2 linked regions of the Danio rerio genome follow. The protein of the gene in region 1 purifies or fractionates together with the protein of each later gene. This does not show direct contact. Links are inferred from orthologs where the notes say so. Each region holds a gene or a part of one and is shown in the gene's direction. Other genes may lie near its edges.

Evidence for each region. The genes of interacting proteins can lie anywhere in the genome.
Region 2: the proteins of ift57 (region 1) and ift46 purify together in Homo sapiens (affinity purification with mass spectrometry; 3 studies listed by BioGRID and IntAct, counting the BioPlex papers as one, with this or other methods). This does not show direct contact. The link is inferred for Danio rerio from reciprocal best matches to the Homo sapiens genes IFT57 and IFT46.

What each region holds. Positions count from the first base shown.
Region 1 is NC_133177.1:45,212,126-45,216,778, forward strand, and holds the start of ift57 (intraflagellar transport protein 57 homolog), read left to right. Parts: upstream 1-1,444; 5' UTR 1,445-1,582; coding exon 1,583-1,719; intron 1,720-2,999; coding exon 3,000-3,174; intron 3,175-3,262; coding exon 3,263-3,381; intron 3,382-4,457; coding exon 4,458-4,548; intron 4,549-4,653. UniProt on the Homo sapiens protein: Required for the formation of cilia. Plays an indirect role in sonic hedgehog signaling, cilia being required for all activity of the hedgehog pathway.
Region 2 is NC_133185.1:34,663,722-34,667,642, reverse strand, and holds part of ift46 (intraflagellar transport protein 46 homolog), read left to right. Parts: exon of another isoform or gene 1-134; coding exon 135-283; exon of another isoform or gene 284-321; intron 322-1,212; coding exon 1,213-1,287; intron 1,288-2,854; coding exon 2,855-2,948; intron 2,949-3,024; coding exon 3,025-3,153; intron 3,154-3,248; coding exon 3,249-3,367; intron 3,368-3,451; coding exon 3,452-3,518; intron 3,519-3,921. UniProt on the Homo sapiens protein: Forms part of a complex involved in intraflagellar transport (IFT), the bi-directional movement of particles required for the assembly, maintenance and functioning of primary cilia. May play a role in chondrocyte maturation and skeletogenesis.

The sequences.
Region 1 (4,653 bases):
CATTCAGAAAATAAATATGGGAGAAAATGTGTAAAATTATAAAACAGTGTTCAAAAGGTTTTTTAGGTTTTATCTTAATATTGAGCAAGAGCATTAATCAAAAAGTGACAATAAAGGGTTTATTATTGTGACATAAAATATCCTTATAGTAAATGCAGTACTTTTGTAAATTCAAGTCCATCAAAGAATCCTGAAAAAGTATTATGAATTGTAATATTTTAATATTACTTATTTGCTGTAAATAATACAACTTTGGTGAGCACTAGGCATGGGCCGGTATAAGATTATGTTGATATGATAACCTTGGATAAAAATATTGTGATTACTGCTCTAAAATATATTCTTTTTAAATGTCTTAGTAAAAAAAAAAAAATTTCCCCCTTTCAATACAATATATTTTTTATTTTGAGAACAATTTAAAATATTGTGGGACTGTAAACATGTCAGGCTAAATAAATGAAATGAATGGACTTCTCTTGTCTTCATTAGTTTCAAAAACACTGATTTATTTACGATTTCGAACAGCATGTTTGGATATCTATTCTGCTAAAGATACTGTTGTCTTAAAAAAAATAATAATAATAAAAATTGAATAAAACAATCCTCCATATACCGAAGGAACAGTATTGCAGAAAATTCTGCCTTGACTTTTTCAAAGCAGTTATCATTCATTGTCTAGTGAGCACAACCGACTTAAAAGACTCAAAAGACTGAAGATTTTTCATATAATAATAAGTAACCACATTTATAGCATAAAGAAAAAAAATAAACATAATTAGATCAGCACAGATAACCTTAAACCATAACATTGACTATAAATGACTTTCATGTGTCAGACATTGAGTTGTGTTGAAAACCAAAATACTTAAAAATCACCGTTTAAACTTGTAAAAACCAAAATAATTACTCTCTGGTTTTTGTAACATAACGTATTTTATGCCCTTACAATGGTTTTACTATACATAAAACAATAAACAGAGGTAATTTACTGTGACTAAACATAACAGTTCTGGCAACTAGAAATCAACCATGGTTTGTACTTTGAAAGTGTGGTGATGATAATAATTATTTGTTTTCCATTCTTATTGTTAACACACACGCATTTATTATTAATTATGTTATTAATAAAGAGTCAGTTTCAAAGAACCAGCAAGAAAAGCAACATATCTTTTCGATTGGAGTAACGTTAGATATGGAGTCGTTTCTTCTCCGCTCCAGCGTGTGGCAGCACTGTCAGACTACACACGGTAACATTATAAAACTCTTAGCCAAAATCAGATTTCGGCTCGCTGCTTTTTTTCTATTCAATAATTATGCATAGTCATTGATTATTGATTATTTATAGCTTTCTGTTTATTATCTGTGACTATTCAGTAGATACTTTTACTTTGTTTGCTGTCATGGCCGTCGCTGTGTGTGACGTCATTCCTGACGACAGTAACTACAACATCCCGAATCCGCTGCTGCAGAATAGCCGTGTATATATCTGTCTGTATTCGTACCTGCAGTGTTAATAAAAGCTTTAAACTAATTTCCCTTTGCGAGTAAAGATTGTTAAATGTGAAAAGAGAAAGAGAGAGGGATGGCGGAGGAGGAAGAGCGCGGTCCGGGCTCTGTCTATCAGATGTTCGTGTTGATGGAGGATCTGCTGGATAAACTGAAGGTTCTCGATTATGAGCAGCACGTTCTGGACAAACACAACATCAAACCTCTGTCCAGGTAAGAGAGACTCGGAATGTGGATTAGAAAGTATTTGATGTAAATAGCATTACAGTTAAAGTGAAATCTCTCATCATGAATTTAGTATCGGGTTTTACAAACCTGGATGAGTTTTTTTCTTCGGTTGGACATATAAGATAACATTTTGGACAACATTGGTAAACGAGTAAAGTTAGTTTCTGGTCCCCATTCACTTTTATAATATGGAACCTGTAAGAAAATGAACGTTGCAAAGTAGATAGAGTTACTTTTTAGCCGTCAGTTTATAGTAAAATCCACTTATCATATATTATCATAAAATGAAAATTCTGTCAACATTTACTAGAATGATGGAAACTATATTGACAAAAATATTATCAGTCAGTGGCTGTTGCTTTCCAACATTTTTTATAATATCTTCTTTTGTGTTCACACGTTTAAGACCTTTAAATTAATATAAGTTTAATAGTAGAATAAGAACAGAAATAGCCGTTGCTATTTTTATTTGTTGTACACACAAAAGCATCTCTCGCAGATTGATAAAATTCTGATTGAACCACTGGAGGCGTATTTCTGTTTTAAGGATGTTTTTTGTTATTTTTCTGGATGACTCAGAACCATTGCTGTCTATGGAAGATGAGAGAGCTCTCAGATTTAATCTAAAATATCTTATGTTGTATTCTGAAGAGGAACTAAGGTCTCTAACATGTCAGGATAATATACTTTTGAACAATGTTTGAAGAAGTTGATATCAAAGAGACTGCGTGTTATAACGTAGACATCAGAAAAAGTAAATAAGAACATCAGAGTGAGTACAGTGCTCAGTGAGTACACCACATTTTGAAAATGTATATATCTTCAGTGAATATAGGCAATGTGTTTTGGTGCATTTAAACAAAGCAGATTTATTAAACAGATATATTTATATAAATAATATTTTGCTCACCAAACATATTTATAAACTGAAAGATAATACAATTAAATTCAAGCAAAATATTACAAAATTTCAACTAAATTTTATTTTCTTTTTCTTGTTTTTGCTTTTTAAAAATTGTATTTAATATTTTTCTATAACATATACATTTGGTTGTACTAGTTTTATTTAGTTACATAAGTTCTAGATTTGGCTTCAGTACTGACTAATCTAATGTATATGCACAAATATAATACTGTATAGCTTCCTATTCAAAATATAAATTTAAAAGATAGATTTGTGAGGGGTGTACTTATACATGCTGAGCACTGGAAATAATGACTGATTTTTCATTTCAACTTTTGCCTTAATACTCTGTATTTTTCAGACATTATTTTGTCTCCAGCCCTCATGTGTTGTCAAATCCCGGTGAGCAGTTCTATATGTTCAGTGTAATTGCTGCCTGGTTGATTACATTATGCGGGCGACCGTTCGACACACCACAGGAGTATGACGACCCCAACGCCACAGTCTCCAACATCCTGTCTGAACTTCGAACCCTGGTGAGGCGATAACACTGATTACACCCTCACAAATGTGTATGGGTGTATGCATTTAGGTTTATGATTATCATCTGTATGTGATTTGTAGGGAGGCCAGGTTGATTTCCCCCCATCTAAGCTGAAGACTGGGTCTGGAGAGCATGTCTGTTATGTTCTAGACCAGCTGGTAGAAAAGGCACTAAAGAGTAAAGGTTTTGCCTGGAACAGGTACACATATATTTAACAGCACACACTATGGGCAGGGGCGGGTTTAGCGAATCGGGGACCCTAGGCAACTTCAGCCATGGGGCCCAAGTCCTGATGCACCTTTTCTACTTTTTTTTATTTAAATGTATTTATTTTCTGTAACTCAATCTTCTTTTTTTATGGTTTATCTTAATGCAATCTTTACAACCTTTACATACGATAACAAATATATATATATATATATATATATATATATATATATATATATATATATATATATATATATATATATATATATATATATATATATATATATATATATATATATAATCATAGATTTACTGCTGGACTGCTCCATGATAGGGGAGCTGGATATTTTGTTTCATAATATTAATATTACAAAACATTACATTATTAAAATAATATAAGATTTTACTGTATATTAAATAATATTTAATTATGTACAAAATATCTCACTATACAAAATATGATAGAAATTATGTTTTATATATAGTTTATAAGTATAATCTATACTTCTAGATATTTATTGGGGCCCTAAGCGGCCACTTACCTTGCTTATTGGTTAAATCCGCCCCTACTATGGGCTTGTTTACACTTGGTCACTTCATGCGTTTTTGCTGACTGCATAGCTATCTGATTTGTTCAAATAGTGCCATGTACATTTGACCACATGAATGCATCTTCGCTAAATTAATATGATTCCTTGGATATCTTCAAATCTGCTCTATATACAAATTTAACTAGTTTATGTTGACTAAAGCATCTGATACATTTTATTTTATTTAAATAGTATTCGCTTTTACACAAATCTAATCTATATTTTTGATTCTGGATACAAATGCTTTTATATGTAGGCTCCTGGAGGCTTTGTGTTTGAAACATCCTCATAATAATAAAAAATAAAAAAATTGCATGAAGTGACAAAGTTTAAACCACACATATGAGCTTACAACAGGTTGAGATCATTTTCTATGGTGGTTTAGGGGCACAGAAATCTTTTAGAACCACGAATTTGTCTAACTGTCTGTTCTTACTGTATACAAACACATCTAGAGCTTGTATTCTCTGTCTGTCAGGCCGCTGTACCCATCAGTGGAGGTGGAGGATGAGTGTGTGCAGGAAGATGATGCAGAACTCACACTCAGTAAAGTGGAAGAGGAGATGACAGTAAGTCACTCTTAATAAAAAAAAATCAGCCTGAGGTATATTTGATGTCTGTCAAGATTTACTGTTAGAGAAGTGGTTTTATTGTAACTTGGACTGAGTAACTTA
Region 2 (3,921 bases), on another chromosome or scaffold:
TGTTTTAAAAGTGTGCAGGTGCTGTTTTTAAAGAATAGCCATGTTAATAAAGACTTTTTCAAATTTCTTCACTTACTTTTCAAATGCCTTGGACTTATGATTTCGATGCATAACTCATTCACATTTGACAACAGAGAAAGAAAGAGCCACCACCTGGTCCCCGCGGTGCTAATAAGAATGATGAAGAAGAAGATGAGGATGATGATGATGACGACGATGATGATGATTCTGATGACACAGAATCTGATGAGGAGGAAGAGGAGCCAGGATCTGCTCCAGAAGGGTAGAGCTGCTAGCCATTATTTACTCACACACCGTCTGCTGAAAGGAGTAGAATTAAAAAAAAAAGTAAAAAGAAAAGTAAAGTTTCAGTAATAAATTTAGTGTTTAGAGGATTATAATACAGTATCTACTTAAAACCAAAAGGTATTTTATCATTTTTTTTGTGGTGAAATAGAAAGACAGAATGACTGACTTAAATATTTTATTTACTTTTAGCTAAATGAATAAAAGTGATAGATTATTTGTTGAAAATGTATTTTAATGATAGTACTTGGTGCATTATAATACATAATCTTCTCAAAACCAAAAGGTATTTCAATTTTTTTTGGTCTTTATATTAAGTGGCCTTAACTACATAGGAACTTACATGTACCTACATGTACTTACGTTGTTACAATGTACTTATTAAGTAAATACATGTATTTACTGTGTACTTATGCTTGATTAAATACATGTATGTAATTACATCTGTAATTAACTTTTGTAATTACATTTGTAAATACACTGCTGACCATTCCCTACACCTTAACCCACCCTTAAACCTACCCATGCCACCAAACCTGTCCATAACCCAACCTCTATCCCAACTCAAAAGCACCACAAGTGTTCTCAAATACATTATAAACACAGTAAGTGCATTGTATTTATTTTTTTGATGTAAGTACATAGTAGTTAGGGACACTTAATATAAAATGGGACCTTTTCTTGTGTGCGTGTGTGTGAAAATAATGAAAGAGAATCACTGATATTCATATTTTTTTTTCTTTTAGCTAAATGAATCAAAATTATTGATTAGTTGTTGGATATTGTGTATTTTAATAATGGTATGTGGTGCTTTATACTACATAATCTATACTAAACCAAAAGATAGTTTATGATTTTTGAACATAATGTACGTTTATTTATGCATTTATGTATGACTCTTCATAGTGCTTATGACCCGGCTGATTACGAGCATCTTCCTGTGACAGGCGAGATCAAAGAGCTGTTTCAGTATATCACAAGGTCAGCATGCAACCACTTCACACCTTTACAAGAAACAGTGTTTAAAGGAATGTGACAAAGCTGCAGTGCATGCTTATAAGCTGAATTTGCATTTACATTAATGCTAACATTAGGGCTATAGTTATCACTCTTGGTGAATGAGCCTTAACACTGTAAAAAATAATATTATTGTGTCATAAAACTTTAAGAATAATTCAAACATTTTGAGCATCTAATAATTATTTTTTTTCAAAGGCATTATCTGGTGAAAATGATTGTGAGTTTTAGAATTAAACTCTTTTAATTCTGTCTTTTGTAATATGTCGTACATTTAATTTTATAAAATTACTGCTTGATTGAAAATGATAAACAGATCATTAGCAATTAGGTAACATGATATTTATGTACAGTTGAAGTCACAATTATTAGCCCTCAAGTAATTTTTTTTCAAATGTTTCCCAAACAATGTTTAACAGAGTAAGGAAATTTTCACAGTATTTCCTATACTATTTTTTCTTCTAGAGAAAGTCTTATTTGCTTCATTTCGGCTAGAATAAAAGCAGTTTTCTATTTTTTTTTTGAAAACCATTTTAAAGTCATTATTATTAGCCTCCTTTTTTCGATTGGTTACAGAACAAACATTGTTACTCAAGGAGATGACTTGCCTATTTACCCTTACTTTCCTAGTTAACCTAAATAACCCAGTTAAGCCTTTAAATGTCACTTTAAGCTGTATAGAAGAGTTTAGAAAAACATCTAGTCAAATATTATGTACTGTCATCATGGCAAAGATAAAATTGATCAGTTATTAAAAATGAGTTTTTATATACATGCTTGGTGACCCCTGTCCCTTAAGCCACATGAATAAAGCTGAATCACAGTGGATACAGAGCTGTATCATGCTGGGCAGATGAGTGATTGTTAAAAACTGGAAATCTTCCAGTTGACCTCAATCTTTGAGTGGATCTCAGGGTTAGGACAAGTTGCAGCTTTTGAAAAACTCTCCTACAGTTTACATGGAAGAATTTAAATTTATTTTGATAAATGGGTAAAATTTCAGCGACCCAAAATGTTAGCAAACATGTAACGAGACAAAATAATGATTAAGGCTATGATATTAGCAACCATCCCCCCCACCCCCCCCCCCACCTTTTTTTTTTTTCTTTTTTTTTACTTCCCTTTTTTCTTGTATGTCTTTTGGTTTGGTTTACTTACTCAATTTATATGATGTTATTTTTTTATTGAATTTATTTATTTTGTATATATTTTTTAAGTTTTTTAAACAATTATTTTTAGAAATGTGTTGAAAAAATCTTCTTTCCATTAAACAGAAATTGTGGAAAAAATATACAGGGGGCTTATAATTCAGGAGGGCTAATAATTCTGACTGTATAAAGTAATTATTATAAATACAGTTATTTAAATATAATCACATTTTTTAAATTTGTAAAAATAAATATGTAAAAGGTTTTTAAGACCATTAAGTTATCATCTTCAGAAAGTAAAAAAAAAATAAAATCTTGAAGAAACAACCAAAACAAGGTCATTTCACTTTTTACTGGTATTAATTGTAAACTGTATTCTTTAGATACACTCCACAGACGATAGAGCTTGACCACAAACTGAAACCCTTTATCCCCGATTTTATCCCAGCTGTGGGAGACATTGATGCTTTCCTCAAAGTAAGTTAAACATCTCACACTTGAAGCACTGCTGCATTTCCAGCTTCATTATACATTTTCTCTTTGCGTTTTACAGGTACCACGGCCTGACGGAAAGCCTGACAATCTGGGTCTGCTGGTTCTGGATGAGCCGTGCACTAAACAGTCAGATCCGACAGTGCTTTCCCTGTGGCTCTCAGAGAACAGCAAACAGCACAACGTCACAGTAAGTCTTCGCACGCACTAGAAGACTAATGAAGACACTTTGAAGATTGCAGCCTGACAACTAAAATAACACTGTGATGCACTTCTCTTTCACAGGAAGTGAAAATTAAGAGCATTGAAAACCCTGAGAAGAACCCTAAAGCTATAGAAAACTGGATTGAGAGCATTAGCGAGCTGCATCGCTCCAAACCTCCAGCTACAGTTCACTACACAAGGCAAACACTAACAAAAACATCCAGACAAACAAATCACAACATGTATGTCAATTTGTAACCAGAGTCTTGTATATATTTCTTCAGGCCCATGCCAGACATTGACAGCCTGATGCAAGAGTGGCCGTCTGAATTTGAGGAACTTCTGGGGAAGGTTGGTTCTCGAGTAATACGTTTTACTGGAAATACCCTTGTTATGCTATTTTAGGATCTGTACACTTTTGTATGCTAAAGCTTGTTTTATAACAGCTATATTACGAAAAGACATCACCCAGCAAACTATTTTGGGTTTAATAGACGTCTAATAGACATCTAAGTGTAGACAGCTTGGTTTATATAATAAGTTTATATAATATGATGATGATCTTATTTTGCATTTACATCTTATAAGCATGGCTGTGAAGAAGAAAGTAGGGATAAAGAGTCAGGAAAGTAAGACTACATTAATTCTCGACCTTGAGTAAAGTCGAAGATGAACAGATAATTCTATAAAGCATATATATGTATTTTGTATTTTATTCAAATTTTCAAAGTTAAAATTCATGCAAAAGATTTCT